Linked DNA regions of Drosophila melanogaster. The protein of the gene in region 2 interacts with the protein of the main gene of each other region in a pairwise test. Each region holds a gene or a part of one and is shown on either strand. Other genes may lie near its edges.

Region 1 (9,086 bases), on a different chromosome or scaffold from region 2:
GAGATCCGCGTCATCAATCTGGACGAGGGAAAGTTTAAGGTGAGTGGTCCCAATATCTTATCCCAGATCTTATATAAATTTTGGATTCCTTGTGCCATTCCAGGTCACTCTCAAAGGCGTAATGAACCAGAAAATGCCGTATTTCGGTCTGCACGATCAGAATCACTTGGTTTGTCTCTCGCGCAACCGGATGTATGTGAATCTGATGAATCTGGAGTCGGGCGATTGTGTGACCACCTTCAAGGCGGGTGAAGATCGTTTCCTCAATTCCCTGTTGGTCTCTGGAGATGGAAGGTAACAGGTTGACCGGCTTTGTACTGAAGTAGTAGTTGCTAATTCTGGTTTGCTCTCTAGAATCTTGGTGTGCGGTGATGAGACCCAGAAGCCTTTCCCACTGCTAGTTTGGCACCTTTCGCAGCGAAAGCTGCTCTATGACCTCCGAATTCCGCACCACGACTTCATCACCTCCCTCTCCGCGATCACCCACGAGGGTTCCTACGTTTGCGTGGTGGCCAAAGAGCTGAACGAGCCGACGACGCCCAACTTCATTGTGGTATACGACTTACAGAGCGGCACTCTGTTTAAGAAATGGAAGCCCGCCTGCAACACAGTTTCCCTGGCCATCTCCCAGGTGAACGCTTGCGTCATCGCCGGCCTAGAAGATGCCAAAATCCTAATCTGGGACCTGGTCACGGGCAACTGCAAGAGCACCTTGATCGGCCACAATGCACCGGTAACGTTCTTGAAGCTGGATCCATTGGGAAAGGTGCTGCTCTCCTACGACAAGGAGGGACGTGATTCGGCCGTCCGTATGTGGGAGTTGAATTCGGGTATGTACCACGGTCTTCGCCCTACTGAACTGTATAGTCATCCTTCTGGTCTTGCAGCCAAATCCCTGGCCGTGTTTAAGCCACCGGCGCAAGTGAGCACTTGTGAGATTCTGCCGAACGGAGCCTTCGTGGTGCTGGCTCTCAAGGATCGCAACTCCTTGCTGACCCTGGCTTTGAAGAACTACGGCGGAGGATCGGGCGCCCTCGACGATGACTGTGGCACTCTTTACGGCAATCCAGACAACCAGCACAAAGTTTTCGACTTGAGTAATTAAATCAATTAACGCTAGTTATCATTATTCAAATTATAAATGAAGCATAACAGGGTGCTAGACCGAGGAAGGCAGAACTCTGAATTATTATAAATATGGCAAACAAATTTCTCATGCATAATTCATTAGATGTATGTAAAATTCTTTGAGCAAATCTTACCAAATGTACAAAGCAAAGAAAATCCAAAGAACATTAAAAATTTAAAAATCTACCCAGCTAATGGTGGTTTTCTCTTTATGTGGTCGCAAACAGATACAAAAGGTTCTTGGCAAACTGAATAATCTCGGTCCCGCCGAGCTTGGAGGTGCCATAAATACGGTCCACGAAGGTGATGGGCACCTCGGCGATGGTGTAGCCGTGCTGTCTAGCCCGAACGAGCATCTCCATTTGGAACACGTAGCCTTTGGACACGCAGCTGGCAATGCATTTCTCCAGTACATCCTTCTTGTAGAGCCTGAAGGAGCCGGTCAAATCACTGGCGTTCGGACGTAAAAGCACCTGGGACAAAAAGTTGGCGCCGCGCGAGATGAGCTTGCGCTTGAAGTCCCAGCCAAAGACACCTCCATTTCCGGCATACCGAGTGCCGGATACAATGTCATAGTTGCCCTCCTGTTGCAGCTTAATGAACTCGGGAATGAATTTGGGCTGAAGCGGAAAAAATATAGCTTATTAGTTTATCTTATTATTAGTTTAACCCTGTTATCTAGACTCACATGATGACTCAAGTCCGCATCGATGATAACTATAAAGTCGCCGGTGGCATGTTTGATGCCATGTATGTAGGCCGTTCCGAGTCCCAATTTGGAGCCACGTGGTCTCAGCACAATCTTGTCCTCCCCGTAGATCTTCTGCAGGTCTTTGGCCACGTCTAGTGTTCCATCCGGACTACCATCATCAATCACAATCACCTCGTATTCCAAGCCGCTGCAAAGGGGGAGCAATTAATACCTGAATTTGCACCTTAGAGCAGCCGCTACTCACCTCGCCTTCATGTATTTCACAATTAGCCATATTATAATGGGCAAATTATCCTTTTCATTGTAAGTGGGCATCAAAATGCTGTATTTATGGCCATTTGTTGGCATTGTAATTGTTCTCAAGAACCGTGTAAATAATTTCAATTAAAACTACAAGAGTGTTGGTCAATTCAATAATACAAAACAGCTGGCTCGAATCGATAGCGAAGTCGATAGTGGCTAGATAGTTAGATAGTGGCTAAAACGTATCGAATTCCAAATGTAAATTTAAATGTGTTAAATAAATGATATTAAAATATCTAATTTGACAAAATATTGACTTTAATATAAAGCTGAACAAATAACATTCTATGTAGATGATGTATGTTTTTGGTATATTCGCCCAGCCGAATAAAGTTTTATAGTATACTTTCCAGAGCACAAGGGTAAAAATCATAAAAAATTGTGCGGTCACACAGTTCGCGAACGGCCGCTTTAAGAATAAGTGCTCACTTTATGTGCGGATTAGCGAATAAAAGTGGCAAAGTAGTGCGCTTTTGACGGCGCGACGTCAACATGGCTAAGAAAATACCTTTTAACGTGGTGTTCGCCTCAGGTAAACAAAACTTCGGATATATTATGAACTGAAAGCTGCAGAAAGATTTTTATTATTTATAGTTTTCTTATTTGTTTGCTTTATTTTGTGTGTTTTTTATGTTCTTAATTGCATTTTTAGTTGCGACAGGATTTGGCTGAGAGCTAAACGTCTTCCACCTCCCTTTCTTCCTTTAAAATTCGCTGCACTTGAGAAATCGATAAATCACGCATACGCCTAGTGCGCCAGGACGTTGGAATTTAAAATAGACTGGCGCTGCCTTTTTAATTGCAGCTAATCAGCTGGCAATAGTCCGATTTAAATATGGCCAGGATGCTAAATCAATTTTCCAAAGTCTCGGCCAATTTACCACGTCCTAAAACCACTGCAACCACGATGACTGTAATATTTCATTATAATATTGTCAGACTGCCGGGTTGTCGACTCTTTTTGTGTCTGCATGTGCAATTTGAGTTGCGGCCAGAGATTTAAATTTGGCCAAACGCCAAGCTCTTTATTTTCATGCTAGGACCTGACAAATTTTGGTTAGCCTCGATGGCCTCAGCCTCATCCTCCCCAGTATCACCTACTGGGCCTGCTCCGCCTTCTTTTTGGACCGATACTTAAGTTTAGTTAGAAGCGATGACACCGGCGCGATAATGGTGAGTCCATAAACAATGCCGGTAATCAGCATCATGCCGGGAATAAAGTCAGTATCCACATACTTGGTAAAGAATTTCGAATAGTAGCCCAGGTAAATGGCGCCCATTCCCAGACTAAAGGTGACCAATCCAAATAGATTATGGCGGAAGCGAAGCTCTGATGGAGGCATTACTTTCAGGGCGAACTTGGGCTGGAAATAGTTGACAAAACCGCCTACAATGCTGGCCGCGCAGAAAAAGGAAGCAGCTCCCCCTGCAAAATGTCAGCTTTAATCGGTTTTCCTGAATTAACCTAATTATTTACTCACCCACTCGGCCGTGCCAGGTGTTAAAGTGCACCTCCTTGCTGGAAAATTTACCCAGGGAGCCCAACAGCACCATGGAGCCACCCACAATCTGCAGGATGGCGTGGAAGCGCGACTTGTTTCGGTGCGACAGCCAACGGGTGAGCGGGTTCACTTTCGAATGCGACATCATGGCCTGGGCGATAAGGACGTGGAACTGTCGAGAGCAAGAAAAGCCTTTTAATTCAGCTCCAGTTCGATAAGATAACAAGTGACGTTGCATGTCCGTGTTATCCAGGTCGATCTAACACTATTGATTTTGTGGCCAAGTGCTTATCGCCGTGTACTCACTCCAGTCCCGGTCATAAACATATGCATGGCGGTATCCTTGAACTCCAGACTGCGCGCCAGTATGAAAAAGAAGACGGCCACCAGAAAGATCAGAATGTGGTTGATGCTATTCAGCAGGCTGTGGATTTGCAGCCAGGCAGTGGCTTTCGTGTAACCCTCCGCCATTTCAAAAGATTCAATAATACTATCTGATTCAGTAACAAAACACGAACGGCTGAGCGACGACTAAACTAGCATGTTAACATCGACATCGCTTAAATATAGAAGAGAAGAGCGTGGAACCTGAGGATAGAGAACAACAAGTTAGATTCGTTTGTACTCGTACAGCTGCGTTCGAATAAATAGTGATAGTTGAGAATTCTTAAAGTAACTCAAATGTTTTTGTTTATGCTTTCCATTTTATACGTTTCATCGCATATATAACTGATAACCTGTTTCTGAATATTTAATAGATTTTAAGGCTTATTATTTTGGGCACGCTTGAATGCTAGCTTTCGTTTTGACCGCTGCTGTTAGCTTAGCAACCGAAAGAGAACGAAACATAGTCCGATATCGTTATCATGTGCAACTATTTAGCTGAGTGTGCGAAAAAGAGACTTATTAAGAGAGTCATAATGGCCTGCGCCACCTATACATAGGTTATAACGTCATGAAAGTAATGATGATTGGATCGTTTCGCTTGCCTTTCAGACGAGGATGTTAACTTTCCGGCTAGCGAGTTAAACAATCACGGCCCCACAGTTCACGGATGGCGAAGTGCTCCGAACGGCAGCCTCACCTCACATGACATCATCCTCCGATTCCAGCAGCCGGCCAAGATCTATCGCATCCAGCTCCTGGCACACCAGTATCTTATACGTAAGTTAATGTGCTAAGTTAATTGGAATTGGCTACAAGCCTAATAAGTACCTAGAAATAATCAATGCCTGATCTTTAGTATGATCAAAGATGAACATATAAACAAACAGCTTGAGTATTCCCTATAATGTGTTGTTTTTTCGTTTAGCTGAGAAAGTAGAACTCTGGCTGCACTACTCGCCCAAATCCCTGCCCAGCACTCCATCCTCGCAGTACTTTGACTTTTTGGGTTTTGTTGCCCTGGCGGATAATGCCAACACGAACTACAAGTCTCGGGAGCTGCAGAGCGTAACCGTGTGTCCACGTAGGGGCACACATCTTAAGCTGCGTCTGATTGGCGTCCAAGGAAACGACTACAATGACACAGGCCAGATTTCCCTACTAGCGGTAAATGTCCTGGGCGAGGATCTGGAAGTGGGGCCAAATAATGGCAACGGAGAGGAGCACTTGGCCAACGAGGCCCCACCGTTGGACACGGCCACCGGAGAACTGGCCCTGGCCTCCGTCTGTGATGACCTGCTTTTCTCCATGTATGTGGAGGAGTCAATAGTGCAGACCATCCGAGAGTTGGAACAGCGAAAGATTTTGGCCGTTAACTCAGAAAGATTCGAGTACGCCCGCAAACTGAAGCTATGCATGACAGCTTTAAGGACTGCCGGAGAACGTTTGGGGCGCTATGCTCTGGCCAAGAGGCAGGCTGTTCAGCAGGAGGACTTTACCACGGCCAGGCTACGCAAGGAGCAGATCGAGATGTACCGGGCGGCAGTACTTCGACAATTGCAGGTGCATCAGCTTCTGGAACCGCAGGGTGTGACCTTAAGCTCCAATGACCAAAGCTGCGAGATCTATGCGGGTGGGAAGCCCAGTCTGCCATCGGCTCCTAGCCTGCAGGATGTGGCACAGGCACTTGCGGAAGCCACCTTCAGTCCCAAGAGCATGACGAGTCTCAGCTTAGAGGACAAATCCTCGACCGATGGCTCCCAGCCTGGTAACGACAATACGTTGACAGCTCCGGCACCTGCTCCAGCACCCGCTCCTGCGCCCACCTCTTTGCAGGCCACGCCCACTCCCACGCTGGGGGGCTGGCGCAAGTCCCACGACGAGCTGCCGCAGTCGCCACGTCTGCCTTCAAGGCACAGCTCACCAATGTCCAGCCGACAGGGATCGCTGCGCAGGCGCAACAAGAGCGTTCCACGAAACTCCTACGAAGACTACGAGGAGCGGGCCATTCCCACGCTGCGACAGTGAGTAGCGGGCGTAGAGAGTCGTAATCGTTGTCTGGGTGTCTAGTGAATACGTAAACAATTGTGGAATAGTAATTACTTCGTTTGTTTACTGGAAACAGCTGTCTATTACAGTGTTGCATGATAACCGGTACTCTTAGTTTGAATGTTTGTCAACACTAGCGACCGTTAGAAACAACACCCGTTACTTTTTTTAATTTAAGATTTAACGCTCGCCCAGAATTTCAAAGAACGAAAGAGAATCTATTAGCTTAATTTTAAGTAAAGCCGTTTTATCTGCTCTAAACACATGAAAAGGATTTATCTTTTTAAAGCAAAAGCAAAAATTCTTTATATATTGAAATTAGGTATTTTTGAGATACTTTTAAATGTTAGGCTTTTTGACAGAAATTTTGCTTTTAGATATTTTAAAAAGTATTTAAAATTTGCTTTTAGAGAAAAGTATTTATGTTTTTATTAACAACTTAGAAACTTTTATAAAAGATTAAAAATAGTTTGAACGGTTTCATAGTTAATTTCATATAATGAAATTTCGAAACTATACACAAAACTTTAAATTAGGCGTTATTTGAACGCATTTGAAAGTAACATGTTGTTAGATTTACCTTTAATCGTACTTACCTTTCTACTCCTATATGTATATTGTAACCGCATCCGTAAACGTTGCCATTCCGATACAACAAACACAAACCGCTCACAGTTCAAATACTAATGAATTTTTAAGGGAGTGCCAAGGCAACGCGCTACTGGAAGCGGATCCGAACCGTGGGCGTTCGCGCCTGAACGACCGCGAGCGTCGCCAGGCAGCGCTTCCCATCCTGGTCTTCGGCAATGAGCTGGTGAGTCCCCCATTAAATCCAATAGATAACATATTCAATACGTGCCCTACATATGTATATTCCCAGGTGGAGCAGTTCTATTCGCGTCAGTTTCAGGACCGCGAGGATGGCTTGATGCGTCTGCGTAACTTCCTAAAGGAGCACGACCTGTTAGAGGCGTCGAGCAACGAGCACGCTGCCAGTCCCAACAAAGTGGCCCGCAGCGCCGCCCTTCTGCTGCATCGCGCTGTAAGAGATGCCGTTTACTCCGTGTTTAGCCAAGCTACTGAGACGGTACGCATGCTGTTCCTAGAGTATGTGCCCGGTCGAGTTTCCCCCAACGAGGTGGCACGTTGCGTGGACCGCCTGCTGCCCGAATTGCTGGCCAAGTCCGGCGATCCATCTGCTCGATTGCACACTCTGGCCCAGCACACGATCCTAAGCATCGCCGCCTGTCCGGAGGTGGCGGAGCAGCACCTGGTTGCGCCAGCACTATCACGAAGCGTTGGATCCGGAACCCACCAGCGACTGGCAATGAGTCGGCTGCAGATGCTGGAGCAGCTGGTCAACACTCAGGGCATTAGCACGGACAAGCATAGTGGACTCACCTGCAGGGCATTGTCCGAGTGCGGCTGCTCCGGCATCCATCATCCAGCGGAGCCTGTGCGAAAGGTGGCCGAGCGCATCCTGCTGCTCGTCTACAAGGTGAATCCCCGACTGGTGCGCAAGCAGTTACCTCCGGATGACGACATCACGCGTCGCAATCTCTTGTACCGCCAACTCTTCACCGAATTTGACAAGTTGGATCTGGACCGCAAGCAGGAGCTGCTGGAGGCTAGCAAGTATGGCGGGGGTCACAGCTCGGGCGATGCGGCAACACCGCCGGCGGATAAGGCGTCCACCAGCTCAGATGCCTCTCGACTGATGAATAGCCGCAGTGGTCATAACCTAGGCCCAATGGCCAGCTCCAGTAATGGATATGCCAGCTGCAATGGAAAGCAGCAGTACAACGAGCAGCTCAAGCGCTCCATGCTATCCGTGAGCAACTCGCGCAAGGGATCCGCTTCCAACTCGGAGTCCACTGAAGACAACACACCCAAAATGTGTGTAGTAAAATTGAATTCTTCAAGGATCCGCAATAATATTAATACTCTTTTAGACGTTGCCCCTTTTGCGACTGGTCGTGTGCCGGCAGTGACGCTACTCAGTTGGACCGACACTACTGGAAGGCGTGTCCTTTCCTCACCAAGTGCCCACAATGCAGTCAAGTGCTGGAGGTTGCTGCTCTGAACTACCACCTGACAAGTAGGTCTGCAATATAATACCGTAGGATAACTAATATTGTGAATATTCCCCAGCGGAATGCGATGCCAAGGAGAGCTACGTGGTCTGTGTCCGTTGCACTGAATCGGTGCACAAGCAGCTATATGAACTACATCAGATGGAGGACTATTGTCGGGGTAGAAACTTGAAATTGAGATAAATTCTAGAGTCACTATATCACCATTTCCCCTCTCCAGAACTGAAAACGGGTGCTGCTCGATGTCCCCTTTGTCATGACGATGTTCACCTTCCCCAAGACGGCGGCTGGAAATTGCATCTCCTCAGCGCCGGCGGCTGTCCCGGGAATATACGCAAGAGGAATCTCAAGAAGTCAAATTAGAAAGCGTACACTTAATCGATCTATTGGCCTAGCGAATTAGCGAATTTATTAGAGCAACTATTCTAGTCAGGATACCTACTCAAGGAAGCTATCTAATTTCAGTCGCAGCAGCCGAACTCATTTAGTTAAACAACTAAACCAATTCGTTTCTCACTCAGAGCACTTAAGTTAGTCACATTTTGTTAAGCCGATTAGTTAGATCTATTATGTGCATTCTTTTGTATTTTTTGTACGCAATGTGATTTGTTAAATGTAACGAGAATTTTTGAAACGTCCTTACAATAAATAAAGCCCATCCATACCGTTTTAAACATGAATTTGAGTGGTTTGAATGTATTACTCTAGTCCATAAATGTGTTACCTTGCTTGCATTAAATTTCCAATTTATATGCTTGGAGTGCATTCCTTAATAAATTTTTAATTGCTTTGCATATAAGGAATATGCAACACAATTGCACGATTTACCAACCATAAATGGTTATGTGTGGGCAATGCAGTCATTCAAATAGAAACAACTGCAGTCCACAGCATTAGGAAAATGCAAATAAAAGA
Region 2 (8,860 bases):
TTTAAGACAGATATGTTTGCACTCGCAATAAGGAACTCCAATTAAGTGCAACTTTTGTTTTCTTTACATCATTTATATGTATAAGATATACTTTCTGTTATATATATTTAATAAGTACTTTAAATGGCAATACTATTGGATAAATTTTCTGTATTCACAGTCCAATTTAGTTAGGTATAAAATTATTTTGGCAAGTGCATCGTTTTGCCAAACTGCCAAGACATTGTGGGCGAACCTCCGTTGCAATCATATGAGCGGAACCGTGTGGGCCACACATTTGCATGCATTTTAATTGGAATTCCCAGACACTGGTTATGATATTACTTTTCACTTACCGAAACCAGCAGACATTGCGACTCACGACAGACTCCGCAACAGCCAAAGAATGCGCCCAATGTGATCAGTATGCCGATGGCGAGGAAAACATACAGGGCTATGTGATAATGATTGTAGTTCTGTGTCATCGACAGCATAAATGTGGGATCCGTCAGCATCCAAACGGAGGTCACCACGATGGTCAGTCCGATGAGCTGCAAGCGAAAAGAATACAAAATATAGTAGAGCATTACCTATTTTTACACATTTTCGCTGTAATTCTCAAATTGTTGCATCCATCTCACGCTGGGCACACGCGTCAATGACGCCATCTGGCGGCAAGGCGGCAATTAAAGTGGGAGACTGCCCCGCCCAGTTTCGCCTTGCTTTAAACTTCTATAGTTTCATACATATGATGTCAGCTTAGTTGGACGCAGACTATATACATAGCAACTGCTGTTGCGCTTCTTTTAATTTAATTAAAGGCAGTAAACAGAAACCAAGTACAAATTACAATTTTCCCCATTCCATTCAATTTGTTAAAAAAAAAATCAGTAATTCTATCCAGTATACAGATTCAAAGGCAGCTTTTTGAGCTCCGAACTTTCAAAACCCGATAAGAAAAGGCCCATTAAGTTTGAAAATCAATGATGCGATAAAATTTGGTTTAAAGTTAAATTTTGGCCTTCATCGCCAAGACATACTGTATGTATATACATATAGAAGTGGCAAGACATTGATCCCAAGCGAGAATATGAGAATTGCGAGCTCGTGTTATCTCACTTCTCGGGTTATCAGCAAACGAAATATGAACTTTTCTTTGGATTTCCGCTAAAAGAATTCCGGTAATGTATTTCTTCTTAAATTTTCCTACCCAGATATTAAACACTAAACTTGCTATTGCCAATCCATCCACCAGAAAAATGTTGTTCCGCTCGTGCAATGAGTAAGAGAATCTAATATAGAGGTAATGACTTAATGGGTTGGTCGAGGTGTCTATGCAAGTTCATTAATTATTCAGCAAAATTATTCATCGCAGGGAAATTGAGTGTGCGATGAGAGCTAATCAAGAGATGTAAACAAGTGCACATATTACATGGGAAATATGTAAATTTAGAACCACTTAAGAACCGATGGCTAACTGAGAAGCATTTCCAAATACAAAACACTTCTTATCTCGTATTTTTTCTCAGCCCGCAAGCTTTTGTAATTGCCAAGAGCATCAGTGCTTTCCGATAAGATTACGCAGTGGATCTCGCAATAAGCAAATATCTATTTAACTTAAAGATACAGCAAAATATAAGATACAGTTTTTGGCGCCCAGGAAAAACGGATGAAAAAGCATGAGGAAGTCTCGTAAATTTCATGAAAATCTTATGAAATATAAGAGAAGCGGAGACCGGCTTTTATGTGGGTGGTCCACGAAAGAGAGAGCTGCCATAAAGTGAGCGAGACAAAAAGTGTGCCACAAAGTGCACGATATGCTGGCCCTAAAGTTCATGAATGTGCATGTGTGCAGCTAACGGAAAAACTACTCATGGAAACGTAATACAATGTTGCCCCATTCGAGGGCAGTTTATTGAGTAAGTACATTGTAACCAGAAGCCCTTGTTTGCATAGATTTTACTTATTTTTCCAGGTCAGGTTTTCGGGTATGGATCAGTAACATAATCTTGAATTTGTTCATGTGTTGAATTAAAAAAAAAAATGTTTCTGAAGAAGAGGTTTATTCCTAGAGCTCTTATAAAGTATGTGTATGTATATACTACTTTGGATAAACCTCAATTCCCTTATCCTTTTAGGGAACAAAAGTTGACCTCGTTTTGAATCAGTCCCATTATCCCTGAACGAACTGAATCCACGCCTTGTTTGTAGCTCTGTTTGTTGGAATTTTTACGATTCCCCGAACGTTTTCACACACATATATTTTTACACATCTGACACTATGTCGCGTGTCCAGGACAAACAAACAAAAATCCTGCCGAATGGGCCAATAAATGTACAGAGTCCTTCGTTGACCCAGTTTTCAGAGCCGAGGCGTCGAAAGCGGAAAACGAGAGAGCATTTTACTGCTGCTAAATTGCAAAAAAAAAAATAAAATGGGGCCAAAAGGCAGCTGGGCTTGCATTGCATGTCCAGTCACAGTTTTGTCCCACAATTAACCGCATCGATGGCAAATCGCAGCCAACAGCCATCATGCATCAGCCATAAGCTGAAAATACAAACTGAAAAATGAATGAAGCGCCACTCATGAATAATTGAGTGAAAAATAGCACAGCGAATTAAGTATGTAGATGTGACATGTCACAGCGAATTGAAAATAGATACAGGCCAGCTTCGTTACTTGGAGAAATATTTTTAAATATTATTTTATTCACAGCAAAAGATTACATTTTTTTCAGGAATTTAAGAATTCTGCACTATGGAAGTCTGACTGTGCTGAAATAAATGGTTTTTTTAGTGGGTGGACAGGATAGGATTGTCAGATGGTCGACCGAATATTTGGAAATCTTTCAGTTTTGGTCACTGTCAACTTCAATGACGACAGCGCCGGCCGTTTAGCATTTTAGACGCTTATGGCATAGGCCTCCCCCAGCATCTTGGATGTGGGATATCGGCCCCATTGGAGCGTCAGCGTCCTCAGAGATCGTGGCGTTTGATCACGATGCCCCACGGCGACGATGAAAATGGAAATGTTTGGAAATCGATGCACAGTGGAGAGCGAGATTCAAAACTAATCGGACAGTGGTCATTTTTTGCGAAGTTATATAAAAATACTATTATTAAATTTATTATGGCTTTGTGGGGTAATTGATAACATGCCCTGGCTAAGAATAGCCTCAAAACAATGTATAAAAAGTCTTATATAAAATAATATCTGACGCACTTTCATCCATAAATCGCTCTAAAAATAGTTCAAACGATTAGTGAAACGAACTGCATCACAAACACATCACAATTTCTATCGCTCATTGTTCCTCCACTGAAATCAAACACACCACTGTGCATCCAACAACAACAACGATGAATACTAAAACATCACAGATCAAGGAACATTACACAGAAACCAATTATTGGATATAATCTTATTGGGATCGGTTAATTTTAATTTTTTTTACATGACATATATACAATAAACGAAAAATAATTGAAAGGTATTCGAAAGTTTCCAAACACGAAACTTGGCTAGGCATCAGTATTTTCTTTCTGTGTACAACAACGAAAAACTGAACGGACGCGTAAGTTTGTGTTGTTCCTCGCCCGTATTCGAAAATAGCTTTTGACTAATAAATACTATAGACAGAAATCGAAAAAAGGCAGCAACAATCAACAAACGAACGAAAAAAAAATTAGAAATCAGCCCGCATAAGAATCAAAATTTTAAATTTGTTGCCCAAAGGAAAAGCGAAACTGATTTCGCAAGCCGCGGAAGACAAGAGGAAACCCCAAGAAAAACTCAAGGAAACTCAAAACAAACGCAAACAATCGCTGTGGCAGATAGTAATTGAATGGAAACAATTGAAAGCCTAACGAGGCTATGTTGAAAGTCGAAAATTGCGTAAAACAACAAGCAGATAAGTTGGCCAAAGAAAGTAAAACCCTTTTTTTTGGGGTGAGGAGAGGTCCTTTTTTACCGAATTAAGCCAACCGAAGTTTGTAAAAATATCAACGGCACGTATACGTTATAAAAATAATAAAACAAAAAAAGAGAGACAGGAAGAGACAGAAGCAAAAGAAAAACAACTGAACAAACATGTGGAGGGAAAAGAAAACAGTGGGAGGTGGGAATGGAGATGCTTAAATGTTTATCTGTCTGTGTGTGTGTGTGTCCCCTCCCACAACGGAACTTCTATTGTTTTTATGCGGGAGTACGAGCAGAGCGGTAGGGAGTGCGAGCGGGAGATGGAGAGATACAGTGATGTCGCTTTTAAAAGCCAGTTGAAGTTTTGAAGTTATAAATGGTAGAAAATAATTTAAAGTCAAATAGTTCATAACAAACAAAACCGATTTGTTTAATTTCAAAAAGAAAAACCCTTCTATTAATGTTTTTAATTAACCGCGTACTTGAATATTTATATAATCTTGTCCATTTAATGTTTTTAAGCCCGCTCATTAAAAAAAAAATATTTAAGTTAATATATTATTATATTTATTTTATTATTTATTTATTTATATTTTTTACTTCCTTTTCGATTAAATATTTCAAGCCGTACTTAAATAAGTTTCAACTTATGTTTTGGGCACCTCTGGGATCGAGAGAGTGGAAAGAGGGACTGAAAGAGCGGTAGGACTCCAAAGAGCGTGCGCACGGCTCCTCCCTCCGCCCGCGCGCCAAGCGTGAGAAAGAGGGGCGTAGGGAATACACAACACACACACATTCGCTCACGCAACACCCACACACACGCGCGCGAAAAGGAGGTCCGTGTGTTCCAGTTGTTGTTGTGATGGGAGAGAACCGAATCTCGCATTGTTGTTGTTGCTGCTGCTGCTGGAATCTACATACCCAGAATAAAATGTTTATAAGGACCATCAGATATTTGACGCACGAACAGCAGCCGTTGAGACCCATGGCGCGGATTGATATTCTTAAATAGGTAACTCCTTAAAAAGTAGCTGCAATTTAACTGGTTTTTCAACCACTTGGAGATGCTCTTTTTCCAAGGAACCCCGAACTGCAGTGTCGCCTGCACTTTTCGACCTTTTGCACTTTTTCAAAACACCCGCTCGATTGTACTATATTTTTCAAATTTTTTTAAAATTTCCCGTGCTAAAATCCACCGATTTGAGCCACTGTTTGCGCGATTGGCCGTTGCACCCGATTTGTTTTAAAAATTTTATTTGTGCATCGAGGCGTCCGTCCAACGTAAAATTCTTGTATCAGTGCGACCATTAGCTCGGCCGTTCAAATATACCAGCGGGTATAGAAAGGCTAAAAACCGAAAAGTGGTGACCCTTAGAAGATACCAAAGAAGTGGTTGAATAACTTTGATGAGGCTTAGCATGGCTTGCAACCTGCTTGGATTTGCAGCCTATACGCAAACCAAAGTGGCCTATCGATATTTTGGATAAGTTCTATTGCCAATTTTCCCAATAAAATAAAAACTTCACTTGAATGTTAAAAGTAATTTAGTTTCAGTGTTTACATAATGTTCAAATAACCTTTTGATTGTTATTATGAAAGTTAAAAATTAAAAATTTAGATATTCTAACTAACTATTATCCCCAATGTTTCAGCTATAATCACCATATTTAAAGTAGATTTCATTTTAAAGTATAAATTTGTGGTTGTTTACATTATTTTAACATGTCTATTTAATTATTACTATGAAAGTGGGTAATTGAAAATTAGGATATTCCAGGTTTTTGATTTACTTTGGCTATGATTTTCCCAAAATATTTAAATCTGTAAATGTAAACAGTTTGAAATGTGACCTTAATAGTTCATGCTTTGTTCATTCTTCTGCGAAACGGTCACACTGTTCGCGCAGGCGAAAATGGCCTAAAGCGTGAAATGTTTAATTCGTTGTTGTTTCTCCTCCGCAATAGTTACTAATAGAAACAAATGCAAAATGGCTGTCTAACGTTTAAGTGCAGCGACCGCCGAAGATCGTGGAAATATGCATGAAAAGCGGCTCGCAGGCAAATGAAAGGCGCGTGAAAATGTAGCAGACACCTTTTTATCGCGAAAACGAACATCGGTGCAAAGGGAAAAACAAAAACCAAGGAAAATACAGCCAAACGCGAATGTGAATGTGAAGGCAAAGTAAGCGAAAAGTCCCCCAACTTTTTTGGGGAGTATCGAGTGCACCACATACGTTTTTCAATATATATTTCGATTGCATTGAAATCAGAAACATGACAATTTCCCCCCTTCCCTTATTGCTGTTGTTGTTGTTGTCGGCTTGTTGCAAGTTTGTGTGAGTGTGTCTTGTAATTTTGTTACGCAGTGGAGCGAAGTTGGAGTTTTGTGGAATGGAAATGGAATGAAGTGGAACGAAGTGGAGTGTAACCAAACACGAAATGGAAAAACGAGGAAAAAACCTTAAAGCGCAGCCTAAGCTTTAGTCGTACTGAAAATTTCTCAAGCGCTGCAAGCCAGTCTTTGCCAAAGTAAAGCCCCTACCTCCCCCCCCCTCTTTTTGCATAATAAACGAAAAACGTTGCGCCCACTTTACGCACTTGTTTTTATGCTTTCCGCGTTCAGTGCACTTAAAAACTTAATTGGTTCCCCCGTCGGCGGTGCTAATGTAGCGCATTTCACTGTTTTCAACGTAAATATAATTATATTAGCAAACGTTTACAAGCAAGATTGGATTAGTAATATGTAGTAGCTTGCTAGAAATCCTAATAAAAATGTGAATAATAATATATACGGTTTCATTTAATATTTTGAAAAGTTTTAATAGAAAAAAGTACAGCTTTTCTAAAAGCTACCCTTATATTGTGTTTCTTTCTCACGAAATAAACTACTGTGTAGAAGGTAGCGGTAAATATTTATGTTTAAAGTCCACTCTCTTCTATGTTAGAGGTATACCCCTCGCCCCTTGGCCACTGCGAATGCTGTATCTTCGCCAATTTCACTTTCACATTCGTCGTGGGCAGTTACAGCGAAGCCAATTGCTTGGTACTTCTTTTATTTTGTTTTTGTTCCCCACTTTGGGGCGTTTCAAATTAGAAAGTGTTTGCGTGTGTGTGTGCGCATATGTAAGTTTATGCGTGAGTGATGCGAGCGGCGTTTTCTCAATGATTTTGGCTAATTATGTAGCTCATTTTCGATAACCGCTTTAAACTGTGAAAATTGTGTCAACTTTGGATACTGTAACTTTACACCCGCCACATAATTTCATTTTAATTAGCGCTCGTTAACAGTTTTCCATCTCCCCTCTCCATTTTGTCGCCCTCTTGAAATTGCAATGTGTGGGAAACTTAATTTGTTGCATCTAGGAGGTGAAAGAGGGAGATAGAAACTGTGGGAGACGAGAAAAATTAAATGAACAACACTAATTCAAATGCAAAATGAAATGTACAGACACAGATACAGTTGTGTAACAATTGTTAATTAATTAACAGAAACTTTTAAACTCAATTTTTGAAAGACATGAATATTGAATTCTATATCAGGATTATTTAAAGCACTAAGCAAAGCGTAGTTAAAATGGATTAAACCTGTTTTCAAATATAAAATGAGAAGAAATGTGGGTTATTTGGGCTCAAACAAGTTTTAATTAACCTGTAAAAATACGTGACATTTTGTATATTTCTTGATTTCGGAGCTTTAAAGAATCCCTATAAATTTGGCCATCGCTTCATTTATACATTATTACATACATATGTACATATGTACGAATTTCAATCATTTACATTCCGCACACAAACATGAAAAGAGACACCAATACACATGCACCTACATTTGCCAACAGTCAACATAAATTAGTGCGAGCAACGGCACTTGGCAACATGCAACAATAGCAACAAAAGCGACATGATTGAAGCAACAACAACACCGACCAAGGAAGTTGCCAACTGTCCCGCTTTGTCTCTCTTATTGTCATTCGCAACTATCCCGCTCTGTCTCCCTATTGTCATTAGCGAGTTAGCAGAGCGCCGCTCTAATAACAGCGCCTTTACATTTCCATTTGCCAAGTGCAACAACCCTGCGTGGGTGTATGAGTGCGTTGTGTGTGTGAAAATACTATAGAATTGGTGGCAATAACAATGGAAAACTGGCATCGTGGAAAACTGGGTAACGCTTTTATAATTTATTCCAATTTTAACTGCTTTTTACGGCCTTCTTCTTGTCTGTTAATTGTTGTTATTGCTGCCTGTAAATCCCATGCGGACAATCTGTTATTTTCTCACACCGGTTGTTGTTATTATAATTTCCCTACACAGAAAACAAAACGTGTTCAATTTAAAAAAAAACGTTTCTTATTGTTTTAGAGATATCTATTTGTGAAATATGGAAATTTATGATGAACGTTTTTGATAATTATTTTAATAAAATTAACTTTCAAAATGATGTGGTATAATATTTTTCTCTGTTTCTTCACTCAATGTCTAGAAAGGAAAGGTGCATTTGTAGCTTTAAATAAGAAATGGGGAAATAAAATATAATTTCTATATATAGACAGAGTCCATACATGTGTATGTTTATATGATATGTCTGGACGCGTTTTTACCGCTATTTTTAAAAGTGTAAAGGTAAACATTCTTCCAAAAACAACATTGCGTTTTCCGCAGTTTCTGAGTTTTATTTTCATTACATAGTTTATTGCCTTGAAATAGGGGGTCAGTTACAGGAGTGTGATATATTCATTAATATTTAAAAAAAAAAAGCTATAATAAACAAATTAAAAATGCAGGAATGACATTTGCAGTTTATGAATGTCATATATAAACATTTATTAGTTTTCTATCCATTAGTTTAAATGATGTTCAATTTATAAGCGTATACAAATTTCTCATTTTAAGATATGTATCTTGTGGATACAATAAATGTGCACATAGCCCTGCTGCATGTCTCAAGTTTCTTAAGATCAAGTAC

Evidence for each region. Proteins that work in one complex are often made in the same cells at the same time.
Region 1: the proteins of Tsp96F (region 2) and CG10165 interact in a two-hybrid assay, tested with the Drosophila melanogaster proteins (one large-scale study listed by BioGRID).

What each region holds. Positions count from the first base shown.
Region 1 is NT_033779.5:19,524,137-19,533,222, forward strand, and holds CG10165 (uncharacterized protein), read right to left. Parts: upstream 6,170-9,086; 5' UTR 6,133-6,169; exon of another isoform or gene 6,054-6,132; coding exon of another isoform or gene 4,958-6,053; intron 4,861-4,957; exon of another isoform or gene 4,810-4,860; coding exon of another isoform or gene 4,642-4,809; exon of another isoform or gene 4,635-4,641; intron 4,234-4,634; 5' UTR 4,117-4,233; coding exon 3,952-4,116; intron 3,818-3,951; coding exon 3,625-3,817; intron 3,570-3,624; coding exon 3,241-3,569; 3' UTR 2,774-3,240; downstream 1-2,773. Other genes in the region: CG10132 (uncharacterized protein), read left to right, coding at 1-39, 104-294, 355-830, 888-1,105; Dpm1 (Dolichyl-phosphate mannosyltransferase subunit 1), read right to left, coding at 1,338-1,748, 1,817-2,027, 2,085-2,188; CG10137 (uncharacterized protein), read left to right, coding at 2,636-2,675, 4,642-4,809, 4,958-6,053, 6,778-6,892, 6,959-7,974, 8,031-8,176, 8,230-8,331, 8,392-8,534.
Region 2 is NT_033777.3:25,876,197-25,885,056, forward strand, and holds the start of Tsp96F (tetraspanin 96F), read right to left. Parts: upstream 5,232-8,860; 5' UTR 4,886-5,231; coding exon 4,820-4,885; intron 531-4,819; coding exon 336-530; intron 1-335.